Xenopus tropicalis: one gene and its partners. The protein of the gene in region 3 interacts with the protein of the main gene of each other region in a pairwise test. Links are inferred from orthologs where the notes say so. Each region holds a gene or a part of one and is shown on either strand. Other genes may lie near its edges.

Region 1 (3,953 bases), about 48 Mb from region 3:
GCTTCTCAGGGAGGGAGGGGGGGGGGGCATGGGGTCAGCTTGCCGGCACGCGTGCAGCATGGAATTGCTAAAGTATTAATTTTCATGCCCAAATCTACCTGTCAGCGCACACGTAAAGGAAAGGAAGGCAACAGGTTGGTTTTCTCTGCTGGCATACCATGCCACCGCTGAACTTGGCACTTGTGGTCCAAAAACTGTCCAGTTGCCATAGCAGAGCACAGCAAACTCTTTGCAGTGACAGGCAGCCTCTACTCTGAAATGCTTGCTTTGGCATAGCCCGCTGCTGCCAGTGCCAGCACCCATAACCATAGGAAGAGCATTACCCAGTGTGTGCTGCAGCAAGCAGTGCCACACCTTTGTGTGAGTTTTGACCTCAGAGGATGGGAGTGGCAATTATTGACGGCTCCAGATGAGTTTTCTGGGTGATTCCTTTTGGTACATGCGTCACCAAGTGACAGAATTCAGAATTTAATATTAGTTATGCATTGGAAATGTGTTGATGTAAATCTCAATATGAAGGAAAATCCTTGTGGGTGGGGGACTTAACTGTGACAGCCTACTCAATGCTGGGCCAGGAGCTGCCATTTACACATTTGGATTTGCGCTTACCGCACTAATATGCCTTTTATATGCGCTCTTAGACTGTTATACCAAACAGCCTGGGAAGCATTGCAGGGTTCCTTGTACAGTGTTTATGATGTGCAAGTAGGGTGTATCTTGGATTATTATCCTGATATCTGTGGTACGTATAATATAAAGGGTTACATTTATATTATGCTGCAATGGTCACAAACCGTAATTTTGCCCCATGAGGTAAGAATACAAATACTCCAGTGTTAACAAAACTCTACAAAATGACATTTACCTTTTAAAGTTGCTCTAAGAATAATATATGTTTACACTAATGTGGAAAAGTGGTGGTTTTACTGCCTTTACAGGACGCATTAATGCTTTTGACTCTTTACTGCCTCGGTAATAAGCATATACGTTTCATATTCAGATTACTAGAGTTCAACCACTAGGTGTCACTGTCATGCAAGTTTTTGGATACATTGCAGTAAGTTTGCTTATTTTCTGTTTAAACTATGTTTGGTTATGTATACTGTTATTTCACCAGTATTAATTTCTTTTCTGCAGGAACCCTGAAATGTCTGGCATAGCCCTGAGCAGACTTGCACAGGAGAGAAAAGCGTGGAGAAAAGACCATCCTTTTGTAAGTTCAAGAAAGTGAAAAACTAACCAGAACAGTGTTCTCTTCAAGAAATAGTATAAGTAGTTTAAAAAAAAAAATCCTAAATTGTTAAACTGCCCTGCCCTTTTAAGATGCAAACAACTTAAAAACTAATACTTTGGGGGTTTTTTTCTTATCTATTTTAAGGGTTTTGTGGCAGTACCAACGAAAAATCCAGATGGCACAATGAATTTGATGAACTGGGAATGTGCTATTCCAGGCAAGAAAGGGGTAAGTGTTAGAATCCTTCCCTGAAACAGCAGTACAGAATTTCTACCTAGCAGTGCTCCCTTGATACCATAAAATAGCCAAATAAGTGAAGCAACCTTCTGCAACCTTGCATAACCAATGTACAACCTTAACACACTTACATTCAGGTGTAGCTGCAGTTAGCAGGTATTGCACTTTGCTTGGTTACAGGATGCACCATTGCCTGGCACCCAGGGGCTGTGACACATGCAACCCTATGGAACACTCGAAGGAAACATGCAGGGGGGGCAGTTTTATATCCTACATCTGATCACATTACCAGCTTGTAAATGCTGTTTAGGTGTAAAAGGACAACCTTTCATGCACTGAACTAACACGTATGCACTATGCTACATGTCTGAGGACAGATTATAATGGCTGTGGATGAATCCTAGGCCATTAAAATCCCTTGAAGGACCACATCCAGCCCATGGAGCTTAAAAATATCCACTAAACCTCCTGTTTATTGACTTTGGGGACTGAAATGCCCCAGGGTCTGCAAGTGGAGTGAGGTGAATTGTGATTGGCAGCAGTTAGGTTTGCTGCACTGGGCTTAATGGAACCCATCTGAGCAGGGCAGCAAAATAGCTTCTGTGTTTGGTGCTAAAATGACGCTTGGTCATTTAAACATGATTTACTCTATTTATACAAATGTTTCCCTTTTAAATAAGCCACAACTACCCATCTGCTGTGTGACTACATATTCCTCAGGGGAGATGAAGGGTTCAAACTCTCTAGTGGCTGTGTGAGCTGTAATAAACACTACAGACTGCAATAACATGCAATTTCACTTCATGGCTCCTCCAGCCAATCCTCCTTACCAGGAGCAGGAATGGTTTGTTTTTTTTGCAATCTGTCACCATAGTACCTGCAAAAATATTTTAAAAAAGACTAGAGTGAAATTGGTGACCTATGAAGAATATTGTCTCTTGGAGAGAAAAAAAATAGTTTAATGTCCTGGTTATGGACTATATTAAATCTGTTTATAAACCAGTGATTCTACCCATAACTTATATCTGCAATTTCATTTTTTCTTCTTCTTGCAGACCCCTTGGGAAGGTGGCTTATTTAAATTACGGATGCTTTTTAAGGATGATTATCCCTCCTCACCTCCTAAATGTAAGTGCCTTAATTCCTAAATCCCTTCCTTTAAAACCAGTGCTTCTCTTGTTAGAAGCATGTGTATAGGGCAGGGTGATGATTGCCTATCCCAAGGAAATGGAGATAAAAGATTGGCACTGTAATGCTCTGAAGGCTCATTCCCATGATGCTTTACCTTAGAAATTGCTCTGTTTTTGTTTTTTTGTGCTGGTGAATAATAGATTCAAGGCTCTCTGAGTAAACTACATGGTCAAAAGTATGCTGACACTAAAGATTCGGCAGCTAATCGGCCCGTGTATGGGCAGAACCGAGCGGCCTGGCCGACCGATATCTGGCCTGAAATTGGCCAGATCTCAATCGGCCAGGTTAGAAAATCCAGTCGGATCGGGGACCGCATCGGCTCGTTGATGTGGTCCCCGAACCGACTGCCCCATGCCCCATACTCGCATATATACGGTACATAGATGCTGGTGAAATGCGATCGCTGCGCGCGCACCTACACCCCTTCCTCCGTGGGCCACCTGCACGCGCGGCATCATACGTGCAGATTCAGACATGCGGCAATGCTCAGACGTGCCTGGATACAACTGCTTTATGCATAGGAAAGTGACGAGCAGCGCCAGCATCGGCTACTCACCAGGAACGAGCACAGTCAGGCACCGATGCGACACGCATCGGCGGCGGTATCAGACCGCCTATGGATATGTGACAGCAAGTGTAAGAAATGGCTGTAATATATATATATATATATAATATTATAAGTCCCCTTTCCTAACTGGCTCCGTCACATTATGAACATGGGCATAAAGACATTAAAATTCTGAAGTGTGTCAGCACTGCTCAAAATTTGCTCCCTTGATCCCATGTCCTTTTTCTACTTAAAGGGATATTATCATGATTTTGTTTATTCTGTAATACTATTACACTGTGCGCTTTGCAAATAATTCCTCCTACCATTTCAAACTCCAGCTAATTTCAAACTAATTAATGTTTGGTTTTTTTGTCATCAATCTCAATTTATTGTGCATGGTCGTTTGCTTGCAGTATGTTCTTCAGACACTACTGACTGGTATTCAATTCTTATCTTATTTTTCTCCTTGTCTTCTTTTAAAGGAACAGTAACACCAAAAAATGAAAGTGTATAAAAGTAACTAAAATATAATGTGCTGCTGCCCTGCACTGGTAAAAGTTGTGTGTTTACTTCAGAAAGTCTACTATAATTTATATAAATAAGCTGCTGTGTAGCCATGGGGGCAGCCATTCAAAGGAGAAAAGGCACAGGCACATAGCAGATAACAGATAAAACACTATTGTATTCTACAGAGCTTATCTGTTATCTGCTATGTAACCTGTGCCTTTTCTCCTTTTTCCA
Region 2 (2,490 bases), on a different chromosome or scaffold from region 3:
TAGGTTAGTGACCCCTTTTTTTACCCCCCCACCCCAGTAATAGTTCTGCTGTTGACTGACAGAACTCTTCTTCCTTCCCTGTATCAGGTGTTTTCCTGCGTTGGAACAGATCATCCAAGTACCTAGAAGAAGCCTATGAAGAGATGGCTCACATTATCGAGTACAACAAGGAGCTGCAAGTGAAAGTGAATGCTCTCCGGAGGCAGCTTGCCGAACTGGAGACAGAGGATGGGGTGCTGGAGACTCCCTAATGGGAATGCTGGCAAAATCTCTGGCTTCACTCAAGGGCACAGTAATGCTTACATGACTCCACAGTAACAAACTCACCCCAAACCAACCAATCCTTTTTAAACCACTTTATTTCTTAAAGGGACACTATCACCTTATATTAACTTTGTATATTAAGTCTTGTTATGCCAGCAAGGTTGCAGTTGCTCTTTATTCTCTCTCTTCATTCTACTTTCCCCCCTGCCTGGGACTGTGGGACTTTAACAACCAAATAATGGGTTACATTCCAAATTAGAGGGCAGGAACAGAAAGTTTGAAGAAATAACAAAATGAAGACCAACTGCAACTTATGTAATCATGCCACTGTTTACAGTTTACAGGTTTATTTTCGCATAGAGAGAAATGTATAGTAGTGGGGAGTTAATTGTGTGCATAAAAATCCTTTTCTGCCTATTTGCAGTGTTAGGAATGCTATACTGAACTTCTAGGCTGTATAGAGTTATCTATATCTAGATAGAATATCCCCATACAATATATTTAATGGGTAAAAAACCATTAATGGAGAAGGAATCAGTATGGCAGCACCCACCCAAATATAAATGCAAATAAGCAGAGCAGGGGCATTCTTTGCACACAGTATGTTCTCCTCTCTTACTGTACTGTAGTTACTACTTATCAATAATGTAAGTAACTGCCCTATTACATGGCTGGCTGTGATAGGATAAAACAGATATATTGACCAATCCGAGGCTTCCTGCTTGTAGAGCTGAGCACCAATGGCAGTGCTGTGACGGGAAGCCTCAGTGGAAGCTATTGGATATTTGAGATTTCCGGCAAGTTTAGGGGAAGCTTTGCACATATCAGGGTCTTTAAGCATTACTGTGCCCCCCAACCCTGCCATACACAGTCAGTGTGTAACATACAGGGAGGGGACACGTTTACACACACACGTGACGCATGCACTACATACTCCTTTGGTGCCATCAGTGTGATCCTATTAGATACCTGTGCTGCAAATCCAATGGCAGCCAACAGGTGTAGATAAGAAATCCCTGCCTATATAAGCCCTATAGAATCAGTTTAATCCATTTCCTTGGTGTTTGATTATTTAGGTCTAGTTTGCCTTGTGCAGTGATCGTCAGTCTGTGGCTCCCCAGAACTACAACTCTCAGTAGGAGAGCCACGGGTTACATAGCCCTAGGGGCCTGTTTATAAAAACTGCAGTCCAGAATAAACCCTGGAAAAACAGATGGAGAAATTGTTGTTAAATATTTTCCTGCATTTACATTTCCTTGCAGTTTTAGAAATAGGCCCCTGGGACATGTATATGTTGTTCTGGGGTTCGGCCACCAGATGGCAATGTTACATAATGAACACTTGAATTTGCCTCTGAAACCCCCTACCTCTCCCTCAGACACTCCTACAGGCTCCCAAATTGCACATTTTGCACAACACCCAAATGATCTAATTGCCTGCACTTCGTTGTACCTGTGTTTGTCTTTTCTTTTCTCGTATATGTGATTGTAATTAATAGATTATTTGTGAATGCTTAAACTAACCTTAGGGGATGTCACACTTCTGACCTGCCAAACTGCAGTTTCCGACGGCTGGCTGAGCATGCTGGGAGCTGTGGTCCTCGGCAGCAGCAGTAGAGGTGATGTTATGTTCTATCTCTATCCGTGTATTAAATATCAAAGGGAAAGCTAATGTATTTGTGACTGAGAATGTTTGTACAGTAATGAAGTAGACTTCAATCTGTTCCAGGTATTGTTGTTGCTAATTATTTATTGTCAATAAGAGCAAGTAGAGAATCTATTCAGGTTCTGGTATATATATTCATTATCGGATTTAGGGTAACAGCATGGGGGGGGGGGGCAATGGGGAGATAAAAGGATTTTCCTTGCCAGTGGCTGCTTTGTGTTCTGCTGGGCTGGCCCCCTAAAACATTGGTGGTTCTCCCCCAGTGTCCCCATACTATGGCCTGTTTCCCGCTATCCCCTGTGACCTCTGGCTCCCTGCTGCGTCCCGCTGACCACCAATGACAGGCCCATAATTGTTTAAAGAGGGCCCTAGCCAAAACACTGTATCATAAGCGAGAATCGACTGCCCCCCCTGATGGTGGCCCTGAAAGTAATGCAGTAAAAGCCACATAATTAGCAGCAGGTGTAGTAGCCCAGCACAGCCAATCACATCTTTGCTTTCTAACCGGGGTGTGTGTTATTGTTAGTGTGTTATTAATTGGTGCAATCCTTCCATCCAAAC
Region 3 (4,195 bases):
TCCAGGCAGCTGGAATATCCAGAGTCCCCTTGTGCAAGTATCTGTGTATTTCATCGCAGTAGGCTAAAAGGGAGCATTTGCTGTTCCCACAAGTTGCAAAGGACCATGTCTGGGCCAAATCACTTTCTGAATATCATCAATGTATCCAAACTAGCATCCTGCACTTGCATTCAAAAGTAATAGCCACAGAGATACAGCAAATGTGCGGAAAGTGGGAAACGTACTTTATAATGCAGAAGGGAAAGAGATCACAAAGAATCCTACAGAAATATAGTTTGGAAGTTCTTTCTCTTTTCACTTTACAGGTAAACACATTCCAATGAGCTTGACTTTCATTTAACTTCATAACAGAGAGAAAAGTTACTGAGCCTTCTGTACCTGTAACCCTTGTAGGGACCTGAGGGCACCCCCAGGCAGTCGGTTTACTGTCATTTATAACAAACAAGGGGAGGTTGTGCCCACCACTAAATATTAAGCCATTAGGCGGGGGTGCAATGAGGCTGTGACCAGAGGGGGGGGCATTGCTTGGTAACAATGTACAAAATGTCTTAATGTTCTGTATATATTGATAATGGGTGAGTGGAAAGGACCTCTTGTCGCTGCCTGTATACGTTTTTGTAATTTGCCATAAAGTCTGACTGCGAATTTCACATGATAACAATCAGGAAGCGGTAAAAAAAGGTTAAAGGACCTCAACCCCCTCAAATAATTTTTGCCTAATGAAATAAAATTAGAATTATATTTTCTTTTATTAGGAAAACATTATTTTTGGGTAAATGTGATGTTTAAAGAAGACATATTAGATAAATGAAATAAAAACCCTCTAATTCTGTAGGCAGTTATGAATAATACAGTATATGGTGCTGGTTTCACTTTGGTCGAAAAATGAACATTATCTATAAAAATGGCCCCTTTGTTGGAGCTCCCTATAGAGCAGGGATCCCCAACCTTCTATACCTGGGAGCTACATTCAAATGGTGTTGGGAGCAACGCAAGCATGGAAAAAATTCCTGGGGTGCAAATAAGGGCTATAATTGGCTATTTGGTAGCCCCTATGTGGATTGGCAGCCTATAGAAGGCTCTGTTTGGTTTTACACTGAGTTTAATGCAACCAAAACTTGCCCCCAAGTCAGGAATTCAAAAATAAGCCCCTGCTTTGAGGCCCCTGGGAGCAACATCACAGTCTGTGTTTCAAATGAGGGGTGGGCGTGTTCTAATTAGGGATGCAAGATTTGCGAAACGCCAAAAAAAAAAAAAATCCTTTTGACGCGGACGACAATTCTTTTGATGTACGACAATTTGTTTTGATGCAGGTGACAATTTTTGGACGCACTGCAAATTTTTTCATCTGTTTCGCAAAAAAATCCGCCAATGGTGAAATGCCGAAATTCGCTGCGAATCAATGCCTGGTGAAACATTTCGCCCATCACTAAAGGACAGGCTTCAGGTCAGCCTAGCTGCTGATTGGTTCCTATCCTACAGTGCAGTGTGCTGAGTGCTGTGAGCCCCCCTGCACAGCCTGGGAAAGGAGCAGCAGGAAGTGGAACAGATGGGCGGGACTAGTGTCAGACTGGCCTATCAGGATACCAGGAAAACTCCCGGTGGGCTCTCCTGCTCCTGACCATTTGGCCTGTTTCATGGTCATTCCCTATTTCTGAATGAAAACAAAGAGGAGAAATAGATGGAAGAATAGATGCTAGCATGTAAATAAAAGAGACTAGGAGACAAGGAGAAAAACTGTTTGGAGAGTGGGCCTAGGGTGTAAGGTTTTCAGGTGGGCCCCTGGGTTCTCAGCCCGACACTGGGCGGGACTAGTGGGGTTTTGGGGTAATTTCTAAATAAATCAGCTCAAAACACTACTTTTTTAAGCACAATCCTTCTATAGGAGGAGAACATTCTTCACTTTAACAAGAAATGTCTCAATTAAATAAAAAATGTAGAGAAACCACAAAAGTATTGTGTATTAGTGGCAGACATGCAGCTCTGCTAAACCAATGTAGCCATTAAAGGAGACATATTGGATAAATGGGAAAAAAAGGTAATTTTGTAGGCAATTATGAATAATATCCGGTGCTGGTTTCCCTTTGGGCTAAACATTAACCCTATCTGTAACAATGGCCCCTTTATTGGAGCTCCCTATAGATCCTCTCACTTCTCTGTCCGAGTTTGAAATGAAGAGTGGGCGTGTCCTAACGGTCCCTGCCAGAAGCACAGTAGGAGGGGGAGAGCCAATCACAGCCCTGCAGTCACACAAGCACAGACAGGCTTCAGTTCCCTATCAGGTCAGCCTAGCTGCTGATTGGTTCCTATCCTACAGTGCAGGGTACGGAGGGCCGCCAGCTCCCCAGCTCATCCAGAGAATTCAGCCAGCAGGAAGTGGCACAGATGGGCGGGGCTAGTGGGCTTTTTCTGGAATTTCTCAAAAAATCATTTTGAAACACAACTTTTTAAGCCCAATCCTTCTATATCTAGAGGAGTATAATTCACTGGTACAGTCATAATTTTTATAGGATATGTCTCCTTTAAGGTCCCACCAGTCTGGTTAGTAACATAACAGCCATTAGGCAGAATGCTCACTCATACACCCAGTCACAGCCCTACAGGGAGGGGGAGGCAGTTGCTTACCCAGCGCAGCGCAGTCTGTGCTCAGGAGTCGCAATCCCGACTGTCCAGGAATATTCCCAGCGATAACCTTAACTTCTGAGAAAATTTTCAAATGTATTATCTGTGTGTGTCTGGTAAGGATTCTGTCTAATAAACGAGCTGAGATATTGTGTGTCCTTCCGTTTCTCCTGAATAGAAACCGAATGTAACTACGGCTGCGCTTTCACTTTCTCTTTGTTACATATAACTCCCCCATACAGCGCTGTCTCTGCGTCTGAGCCGCTCACGGAGGGACTGGACATGTCAGGTGGGTGCTTTCTGCTTGCTACAAAGTCGCAACGTCCCTTTTAACTGGAATATAGTATAGAAAGAAAGAGAGTCCTGCGACTATGTAAAGAGAGAGTCGGAACAACAGAGTTGGATCTAACTGGAGTCACAATAATATAGGGAACTTTTCTGAAAAATTGTGATTTTGTGAATCACAAATGGAGTGTCATATAAAACAGATTTATTATTGTTAATATAGAGGGGGGTAGATGTTTAGGGTATGAATGTGGGGTTCAGCCCTTGTGAATATGGATTAATTCTTATAGCAGCTGAGGGTCTTGTTTGAAATCATTACTGCTTATTATACTATAGATAGGGGCACCCACTATGGGAATATTAAGGATATCAGAGCTTAGGAATCATCTAAGGGTGAAGACACACAGAGCTACTAGTAGCAGCTACTTGTTGTGGCTACTAAAATAGACAATGCTGATCATTTACTGATACTTATCTCTAGGTGTGTTTTAGCAGAGGCAATTCTCAGTATTGTCTATGGCAGGGGATTTTCTGGTGTTTAGTAGCCGTGACAAGTAGCTGCTACTCAGTAGCTCTGTGTGTCTTCACCCTAACAGTTACAGGACAATACAGGTATAGATCTGCTATCTGCAATACTTGCAGCCTGGGGTTTTCTGGATAATGAGTCTATTAACAACACCAATGTTTATGCAGCTGATTTACCTTCATAGAAACAGCACAGTTTTAATATGAAATAAGGAACAGGAAATAAGACCAGCGGCAGACCGAGCCGGACAGGTGCCCTAGGCAAGCCAGCTGCCCACTTTGCCCCCACTGTGCCTGCACAAACAAGCAAGTGTGTGTGGACATTGGCTACTTGGGCAGAAGGGAGATAAAGAGCAGCCAGTGGGGGAACAAGGGCCCAAACTAAGGGTACATGGGGTACATGCCTATTGCCCCCCAATCATGGCACCCTAAGCCTGTGCCTCCTGTGCCTACCCCTAGTTCCGGCCCTGAATCTGACACTGTATAAGATAGGTTTGCTTATGGAATATGGAGCTTTCTGGATAAAGAGTTCCTGGATATTAGATTCAATACTTATACAAAGGCACAAGGCTGCCTGCCAAGCAAGGACTTTTATACCCAATAAATAGTTTCAGGAAGGGATTATTATTATTGCACAGCAGGTAAATACACAGATAAATACGCACCTATTCTGCATTACCTCCACCAGCAGTACATAGGGAAACAATACTAGCACCGGGGCACCGGGTGGGGCCAATACGGCTTTGTACACTGACAGGATTGT
Region 4 (4,167 bases), on a different chromosome or scaffold from region 3:
GGATCCAATTCACAAGATAGAAACGTGGTGTTCTCTAGAATACCGACCTGGGCAAGTGAATTTTTTAGTCGAACCAAGGGTCTGAGTTAATAATACTAGCATACCCCAGTGATGAATCCTTAACTTGTCCTTAGAGTAAATAACATTTGATATGCCATATCTGGCAGGCAAAGCATAAGGACATAATCTACCATATAGAAATAGGATCTGTTATATACAATGCATTACACTTCAGGTTTTCAAGCACCCCACTGTGTACTTTTGCCACACCAGGCAGGCAGTGGGCCTAGGTTTGAGCCTGGGCCCGCTAGGTTTTCTCCTGTAGTCCTGCTGACCCTGTCCTAGCCTGTGGACAAGTGTTATTAGTGGAGTACCTTGGCACTGCTTTTTCATTTGTTTATTAATAATCTTGAGGTGGGAATTGTGTAAGTACTATCTCTATTTTTGCTAATGATAATAAATTGTATGAAACTATAATTTCTATGCGGGATGCTGCCACTTTGCTCAGAGATTTGACTAAAATGGAAAACTAGGCAGCAAATTAGGAAATAAAGTTACATGTTAATAGGTGCAAGGTTATGCACTAATAACATAAATGGAAGCTGTACACTAAATGGTATTGTGTTGTGGGCATCCATAATTGGAAAGGATCTGGGGACTTTTATGAATAATAAACCATTACCATGTCAATCAGTGGCTACTAAAGCAAATAAACTACTTTCTTGCATAAAAAGTGGCTTTCAGGCAATGACATTTCTGGGGCCTCCTCATTGCAGGAGTGGCCCTGTGAACAGGGGAGCTTCAGTGCCCCTTTAAATGCTGAAATTCCAGTTAATAGAGCAGAAATTGGCTATGGAGGCAAGTACTTTTAAGGAATAGAATTTTTCTCACAAGGATTATGTGCTCAACAACAACTGCCACTTGTTGTTCTGTTCCACATTTGTCTTCTAGCTTACACCTTTGGCTTATGTAGGGTTCGTAATTTGTTAAAAATATATTTCATGATTGATTCTTTATAGTGCAAACCCCATAAACTGTAAATTGTACGGTACCACAGCATAATGCAAACGTGATTGATCACAATGCTTTCCGTGTATTGTAAAACTGATCAGTTACAAAAGTTAATTTTGGTTACCTGTACTGCAAATATTTCTTAATATGCTACTATTATATAAATGTGCGTATTTGGGCTAATAATTCTCAACTACATAGAACCTGCAACTTTATCGCTTCTAACGCAGCCATGCCAGCACCTTAACCCCGCCCCCTTAGTGCGCATGCGCGCTCCCCTGTCCTGATCTCACGCCGACCCGGAACGTTGTATCGGCGCGGCACCTGGAGCTCAGCGCTCAGGAAAATGGCGATGCGTGTGCTGAGCGCGATGAGAGTCCTGAGTACAGTGACCCTTGTGCGGCGTCCCGCCCAGGAGTGCCGCCTGGTATGGAGGTCGTGCTTGGTCAGGAGCTTGGCCACCGGCTCCCAGTTGCTCTCCTCTGGTGAGTTTCTCGCCTGGGCGGCAAGTTGCAACTTTACTTATCCAGTTGTATCCTGTTCGTTCTGCATCTGAGCTTGCTAGGCACGTATGTCATTGCACATAATGTATAACATATATCCACTGACAGTGCACATACCGCGTCCGCCCTGCTTATATGAGAACCAGGGAGCCTTTTGGATGTTACTTGTGTATATGTGTGCTCATGTGGCCGGCATAACTTGCTACATGTATTTAATGACTGGCCGTGCAGTGTTATTTGGTTCTCTCTGTGCTGTGTCCCGGCTGCATGCAATGCCCCACTGTGCTTGGGATTGGCTGCTTTCTGCATGCATGGAACAGTATCCAGTATAGATGTAATTGTGAGATGATACATTAAATATACTTGTAGTTACATGCAGGTATATGGAGAGTTTTACATATTTTCATTATCCTACAATAAAGCACATTCATTATATTTATATTCTTAAATTAATGCCTCCCCCCCCCCAAACAGTCAATGGTTTTGAACTAATATGTAACTATAACTGCTATTAAAAGCAGCATCTATCTGGCTGTTCCTGTCCTCTGCCCTGGTGGTTGTGACTTTTGAAGCAATGTAGCAGAAGCCAGCTGATTAACCTGCAAAGAACAATGCAAGGCTGACTCCTGCTATAGGGTTTCAGGAGAGAAGTAGCAGTGCAGAAAGGGACAGTAGGTTTCTGCTTTCAGTTCCGTTTACAAACAACTTGGATTTATTTGATGATTATTTAATGGAAAGTTTCTTTAAATTACATTTCCTTTCATTAGGCAAAGTTTAATTTTTGGTTTACATCACCTTTAAATCACCCCCCAGTGTTAACTTTGTACTTTGCTTAGCTTTCTAGACTATGGACTTTTTCTGCTGGCTGCTCGCTTACATGTGCAACTTTCAAGCATTTAAGATATATGCGCCATTGCTGCCTGAATGTACTATAAACACAAGAAATTGTGCAATACCAATGAAACTGAGCAATACTCACGAGCATTTTTGCAGACATCTGCAAGCATTTAAAAAAACAAAACAATATTCCAGCTTTTGTTGACTGTTATAATGGATATCTGGATTTGAACATACAGACATCATGTGCTAGGTAGCCCTGTGACTAGCACTACTCCAGGCGTTTTGCTGTTGATTCCAGTGTCAGACCTGCTTTGATATACCCTGTGCTCCAGTACAGGTCCTAGTGCCAGTGTTTGTTTTAAAGGCGATGTGGGGATTTTTAAGGATTTAAATTTGTAAATTTAAATAATGTTTCCAATGTGCATTAATCTGAAAAAATAGCATTTTCAGTATCTCTACCTGATCAGGTAACGTTGAAGGGATCTTTAGCCCCATGCTTTTTGGCTAAACCAGGGGGCCCGCTGGTTGGTACTGTTCTCTTTGTGCCCTCAGTAACAGAGCACAGAACATGAAAGATATCCCCACTGGTGTAAGCAACATTGTCAAATGCATAGTAATCTACATTACAGTTTAATTTTATAGTGCTATACAACCTGCCATCAGTCCTTGCATTTACCTCCTGCACTTTGGGTTCAAGTAAAAATACAGCACCATCTGCTTGTTTTGTGGATACTAATAGGACATCAGTCTTGCATTTTGAGGTGGTATACATGCCGCGTATGCCATCCCACTGGGGATTTACATTCTAGCCGCTGGGATGGCATTTTGGGGAGATTAGTCACCCGTGTCAAGGGAGATCTGTCGCGCAGCGACTTATCTCCCCGTGTCTCACAGCCCTAAGGGCTCTGGCAGATGGGGAGACTAGTCGCCTGCGAGAAATCTCCCTTGTCGTGGGCGACTAATCTCCGCGAAATACCATCCCACCGGCGAGTATGTAAATCGCAGGTGGGATGGCATACACAGTGCCGCGATTTCCCCAAAATCCTCTCAAGGCCGCGGATGCCATCCCACCGGCGACTTACATTTTCACCGGTGGGATGGAATTTCGGGGAGATTAGTCGCCCGCGACAAGGGAGATCTGTCGCGGGTGACTAGTCTCCCCGTCTGCCAGAGCCCTAACAGTGCGCAGGGTATTCAAAGAATGAATGCCCATGGCATTTATGTTATCTGCAATATATTTGATAAAGCATAAATCACTTACTTGTGTTTGACATATATACATCATTTTTATTTATGTAATTAAATATTAAATTGTGTATTGGTAGGCTGCTACCTGCAACAACTACTACTTGTTTAGTCTACCCAGCATTATATTTTACTCCAAAAGATATGACATATTATTCTCTGTTTATGATTGACAAAGGGGTAGGGCAGCATTATCTGTTGAAGTGAAGTCCTTTTTCTTTTGCTGAGTTGTTGAGTTTTGTTAAGCATACAATCTTAGTCCAAGACTTTAAGCTCGAGGACGCCAAACAAGTGGATCTTTCCACCGGAGTAATCCGCCAGGATAAGCACCTGTCAGAGCAAGGGAAAAATGATGGAAAAAAAATCAAAACTGCCTAATCGACATCTGCCCAATTTTAGGCCAGATATTGGTTTGGTAGACCCGTCCAGGGTCCCCATACACGTGCAGATAAGCTGCTGAATTGGTCTGTAGGGTTCAAATCAGCAACTTAAATCTGCCCATATATGCCTACCTTTAGTCACAGGAGTGACCTTACAATATGCATTCCTGCTCTGCTGTTTCTCATTC
Region 5 (3,518 bases), on a different chromosome or scaffold from region 3:
CAATATATACCAGTGCGAGCCCAATATATACCAGTGCGAGCCCGATATATACCAGTGCGAGCCCGATATATACCAGTGCGAGCCCAATATATACCAGTGTGAGCCCAATATATACCAGTGCAAACCCAATATATACCAGTGCAAACCCAATATATACCAGTCTGAGCCCAATATATACCAGTGCAAACCCAATATATACCAGTCTGAGCCCAATATATACCAGTGTGAGCCCGATATATACCAGTGCGAGCCCGATATATACCAGTGCGAGCCCGATATATACCAGTGCGAGCCCGATATATACCAGTGCGAGCCTAATATATACCAGTGCGAGCCCAATATATACCAGTGCGAGCCCAATATATACCAGTGTGAGCCCAATATATACCAGTGCAAACCCAATATATACCAGTCTGAGCCCAAAATATACCAGTGCGAGCCCATATATACCAGTGCGAGCCCGATATATACCAGTGCGAGCCCCGATATATACCAGTGCGAGCCCGATATATACCAGTGCGAGCCCAATATATACCAGTCTGAGCCCAATATATACCAGTGCGAGCCCAATATATACCAGTGCGAGCCCAATATATACCAGTGCGAGCCCAATATATACCAGTGCGAGCCCAGTATATACCAGTGCGAGCCCAATATATACCAGTGTGAGCCCAATATATACCAGTGTGAGCCCAGTATATACCAGTGTGAGCCCAATATATACCAGTGTGAGCCCAGTATATACCAGTATGAGACCAATATATACCAGTGTGAGCCCAATATATACCAGTGCGAGCCCAATATATACCAGTGCGAGCCCAATATATACCAGTGCGAGCCCAGTATATACCAGTGTGAGCCCAATATATACCAGTGTGAGCCCAGTATATACCAGTATGAGACCAATATATACCAGTGTGAGCCCAATATATACCAGTGTGAGCCCAATATATACCAGTGCGAGCCCAATATATACCAGTGCGAGCCCGATATATACCAGTGCGAGCCCGATATATACCAGTGTGAGCCCGATATATACCAGTGTGAGCCCGATATATACCAGTGCGAGCCCAATATATACCAGTGCGAGCCCAATATATACCAGTGTGAGCCCAGTATATACCAGTGTGAGCCCAATATATACCAGTGTGAGCCCAATATATACCAGTGCGAGCCCAATATATACCAGTGTGAGCCCAATATATACCAGTATATACCAATATTTCAAGGTACAATATATACTGAAGGGCGACAACATGGTCCCACAAATGAATTAAAGCTATTTAATATTAAAGACACGCCCAGTGGTGGGAGGGGCTTACTATTCACAACTTATTTCTATTTTTACACTGATTGTGAAGGTTTAAGGGTGGAAGGGACTCCGCCGGCCAAAAACAATATCTCTTTGTTCCAGTCTTTCAGTATTGGGCTCACGTGGGAGTATACTGCCCCCTAAAGGTCAGACTTCTCACATTCAGCCATTTTCTGTTTCATGGATAGTTACCCTCTGTGGCCCTTGCACATCCCCCCCCCCCTCATGCAGCTGTCACAGAGACCTCTCTCATTGTAGGACCCCCCGGGCTTCCTGGCCCCCCAGGCCCTCAGGGAAAACAAGGAGTTCCAGGTCCACAAGGACCTCCAGGACCCTCAGGAAAAGATGGTGCCCAAGGCAAACAGGGCCCGGTGGGACCCCCAGGTAAGGAATAAAGGATATTTTGGAAATAAACATAATTATAAGAAATAATATCGTTTTTACCCCCTAAATGCCCCATTTCTCATTAATATACAGAGTAATGTATTAAAAGGCCCCAATTGTAGTAAATCATAGCATCCAATCAGATGTTTGCTTTCAGTTAATGCTACTTGCTAATTGGTTGCTATGGGTTACTGGACTTTACATTGGCTAAATAACCCCGTGTAACCGTGTGGGAAGGGGTTAATGTATCTCATTCTTATTTCTCTCTCTTTTGCTCCAGGTCTGCGAGGAGAACAAGGTACCGCAATGGGAAATATCACCCAGCAAATGGCCCCCGTGGGATAAATGCCCCCTCCCTGGGCAATAGGGAACTCATTTACATGCCCAGCTGGCACAGTTAATGCCCAGTGACCCCCCCCCCCGCTTTTCTAAACACTAATGTAAATGGGACAGTGTGCCTTTAAATAGATAACCCCGCCCCCCCAGAGAATCAGAACTATGGGCCTGACAGGAAACTATTTAATGAAAGGTCCGCCTTGTGCTGAATTTAATGGGTTAATGGGTTTCCTTTATTACTGTCATTTACGGGAATATTTCCTGCTATTTAATTCTGGTTGATTATGGAAACTCGCCAGGAAAGGGGATTTTTTTTCATGTGTGTACGGCAGCCCCCCTCCATCCTGGCACTGCCCCCCCCCCCCCGGATCATTTGCAATTGGTCTTCATTTGTTATTTTATTTTTTTCGGTTATTTAGCTTTTGGTTTATCCACTCTCTAGTGTGGTATTTCAGCAGCAATCTGGTTGCTAGGGTCCTAATTACCCTAGCAACCAGGCAGAGGTTTGAACGAGAGATGGGAATATCAATAGGGAAAGATAGGAAATAAAAAGTAACAATAACAATAAAACTGGAGCCTCACAGAGCAATAGGGTTTGGCTGCCGGGGTCAGTGACCCCCATTTGAAAGCTGCAAAGAGGCAGAGGAGGAAGAGGCACATAATGCAAAAAATATAACAAATAAATAATGAAGACCAATTGCAAAGTTGCTAGGAATAGGCCATTCTATAACATGATGGAGAACCGCCCTTTTAACATCTCACTGCAGCCAATAGGAGCCCCTCTCTCACTCCTTGTACCCAATATACCCCTCTCAGGAGGGCAACAACAATCCATAGTAACTGGGGTAGATACAAGTCCATCACGTTTGCCCCTCGACCCTATGTATAATCAGCCAGAGGGAGGGGAACACCCTGATTTATAATAATAATGTGCCTTGTGTGTCCCCTGCAGGTCCAATAGGGGAGTCGGCCATTGCCCCAAACATTGCCTTCTCCGCTGCCCTCACTTACCCCCAGCTGGACCCCGGAACCATCATCTTTGATAAAGTCCTGGTGAATGATGGCAACGCCTACGATCCGACCAGCGGTAAGTGCCACCCTGGGCGCCAACCAACACTCACCCACCACACTGGGCTCGGCCCGTTATGTCTATAAGAAGAGAAGGTTGTTGGGGAAAGGGAGAGGGAAAGAGAAGTAAGGGGTACAGAGGGTGGGGTAAAGTCGCTATGTAGGTGGAAACTCACCAGCGCTCTGTAAGGCAATGTCACTTGCCCCCCTCTGGTGCAACACTCGCTGGGGCAACACATGGTGCCCAAATCCTTCTACCACCAATATCATTTGCACTGCCTTCTGCTGCCATATTCCCCTCTGTACCTTATATATATACCCTTTGTACCCCATATACTGTATATACACCCTCTGTACCCCATATATATACACCCTCTGTACCCCATATATATACACCCTCTGTACCCCATATATATAT

The links.
Region 1: the proteins of nmi (region 3) and ube2i interact in a two-hybrid assay, tested with the Homo sapiens proteins (3 studies listed by BioGRID and IntAct). The link is inferred for Xenopus tropicalis from reciprocal best matches to the Homo sapiens genes NMI and UBE2I.
Region 2: the proteins of nmi (region 3) and mtmr9 interact in binary tests that used the Homo sapiens proteins (3 or more experiments, as listed by UniProt). The two-hybrid records come from large-scale screens. The link is inferred for Xenopus tropicalis from reciprocal best matches to the Homo sapiens genes NMI and MTMR9.
Region 4: the proteins of nmi (region 3) and gcsh interact in binary tests that used the Homo sapiens proteins (3 or more experiments, as listed by UniProt). The two-hybrid records come from large-scale screens. The link is inferred for Xenopus tropicalis from reciprocal best matches to the Homo sapiens genes NMI and GCSH.
Region 5: the proteins of nmi (region 3) and emilin1 interact in binary tests that used the Homo sapiens proteins (3 or more experiments, as listed by UniProt). The two-hybrid records come from large-scale screens. The link is inferred for Xenopus tropicalis from reciprocal best matches to the Homo sapiens genes NMI and EMILIN1.

What each region holds. Positions count from the first base shown.
Region 1 is NC_030685.2:28,777,783-28,781,735, reverse strand, and holds the start of ube2i (SUMO-conjugating enzyme UBC9), read left to right. Parts: upstream 1-1,138; 5' UTR 1,139-1,147; coding exon 1,148-1,213; intron 1,214-1,378; coding exon 1,379-1,462; intron 1,463-2,526; coding exon 2,527-2,599; intron 2,600-3,953. UniProt on the Homo sapiens protein: Accepts the ubiquitin-like proteins SUMO1, SUMO2, SUMO3, SUMO4 and SUMO1P1/SUMO5 from the UBLE1A-UBLE1B E1 complex and catalyzes their covalent attachment to other proteins with the help of an E3 ligase such as RANBP2, CBX4 and ZNF451.
Region 2 is NC_030681.2:150,896,158-150,898,647, reverse strand, and holds the end of mtmr9 (myotubularin-related protein 9), read left to right. Parts: intron 1-87; coding exon 88-251; 3' UTR 252-1,986; downstream 1,987-2,490. UniProt on the Homo sapiens protein: Acts as an adapter for myotubularin-related phosphatases. Increases lipid phosphatase MTMR6 catalytic activity, specifically towards phosphatidylinositol 3,5-bisphosphate and MTMR6 binding affinity for phosphorylated phosphatidylinositols.
Region 3 is NC_030685.2:76,343,474-76,347,668, reverse strand, and holds the start of nmi (N-myc-interactor), read right to left. Parts: upstream 2,807-4,195; 5' UTR 2,626-2,806; intron 1-2,625. UniProt on the Homo sapiens protein: Acts as a signaling pathway regulator involved in innate immune system response.
Region 4 is NC_030680.2:52,712,799-52,716,965, forward strand, and holds the start of gcsh (glycine cleavage system H protein, mitochondrial), read left to right. Parts: upstream 1-1,351; 5' UTR 1,352-1,357; coding exon 1,358-1,496; intron 1,497-4,167. UniProt on the Homo sapiens protein: The glycine cleavage system catalyzes the degradation of glycine. The H protein (GCSH) shuttles the methylamine group of glycine from the P protein (GLDC) to the T protein (GCST).
Region 5 is NC_030681.2:161,495,949-161,499,466, forward strand, and holds part of emilin1 (EMILIN-1), read left to right. Parts: intron 1-1,570; coding exon 1,571-1,696; intron 1,697-1,976; coding exon 1,977-1,994; intron 1,995-2,984; coding exon 2,985-3,119; intron 3,120-3,518. UniProt on the Homo sapiens protein: Involved in elastic and collagen fibers formation. It is required for EFEMP2 deposition into the extracellular matrix, and collagen network assembly and cross-linking via protein-lysine 6-oxidase/LOX activity.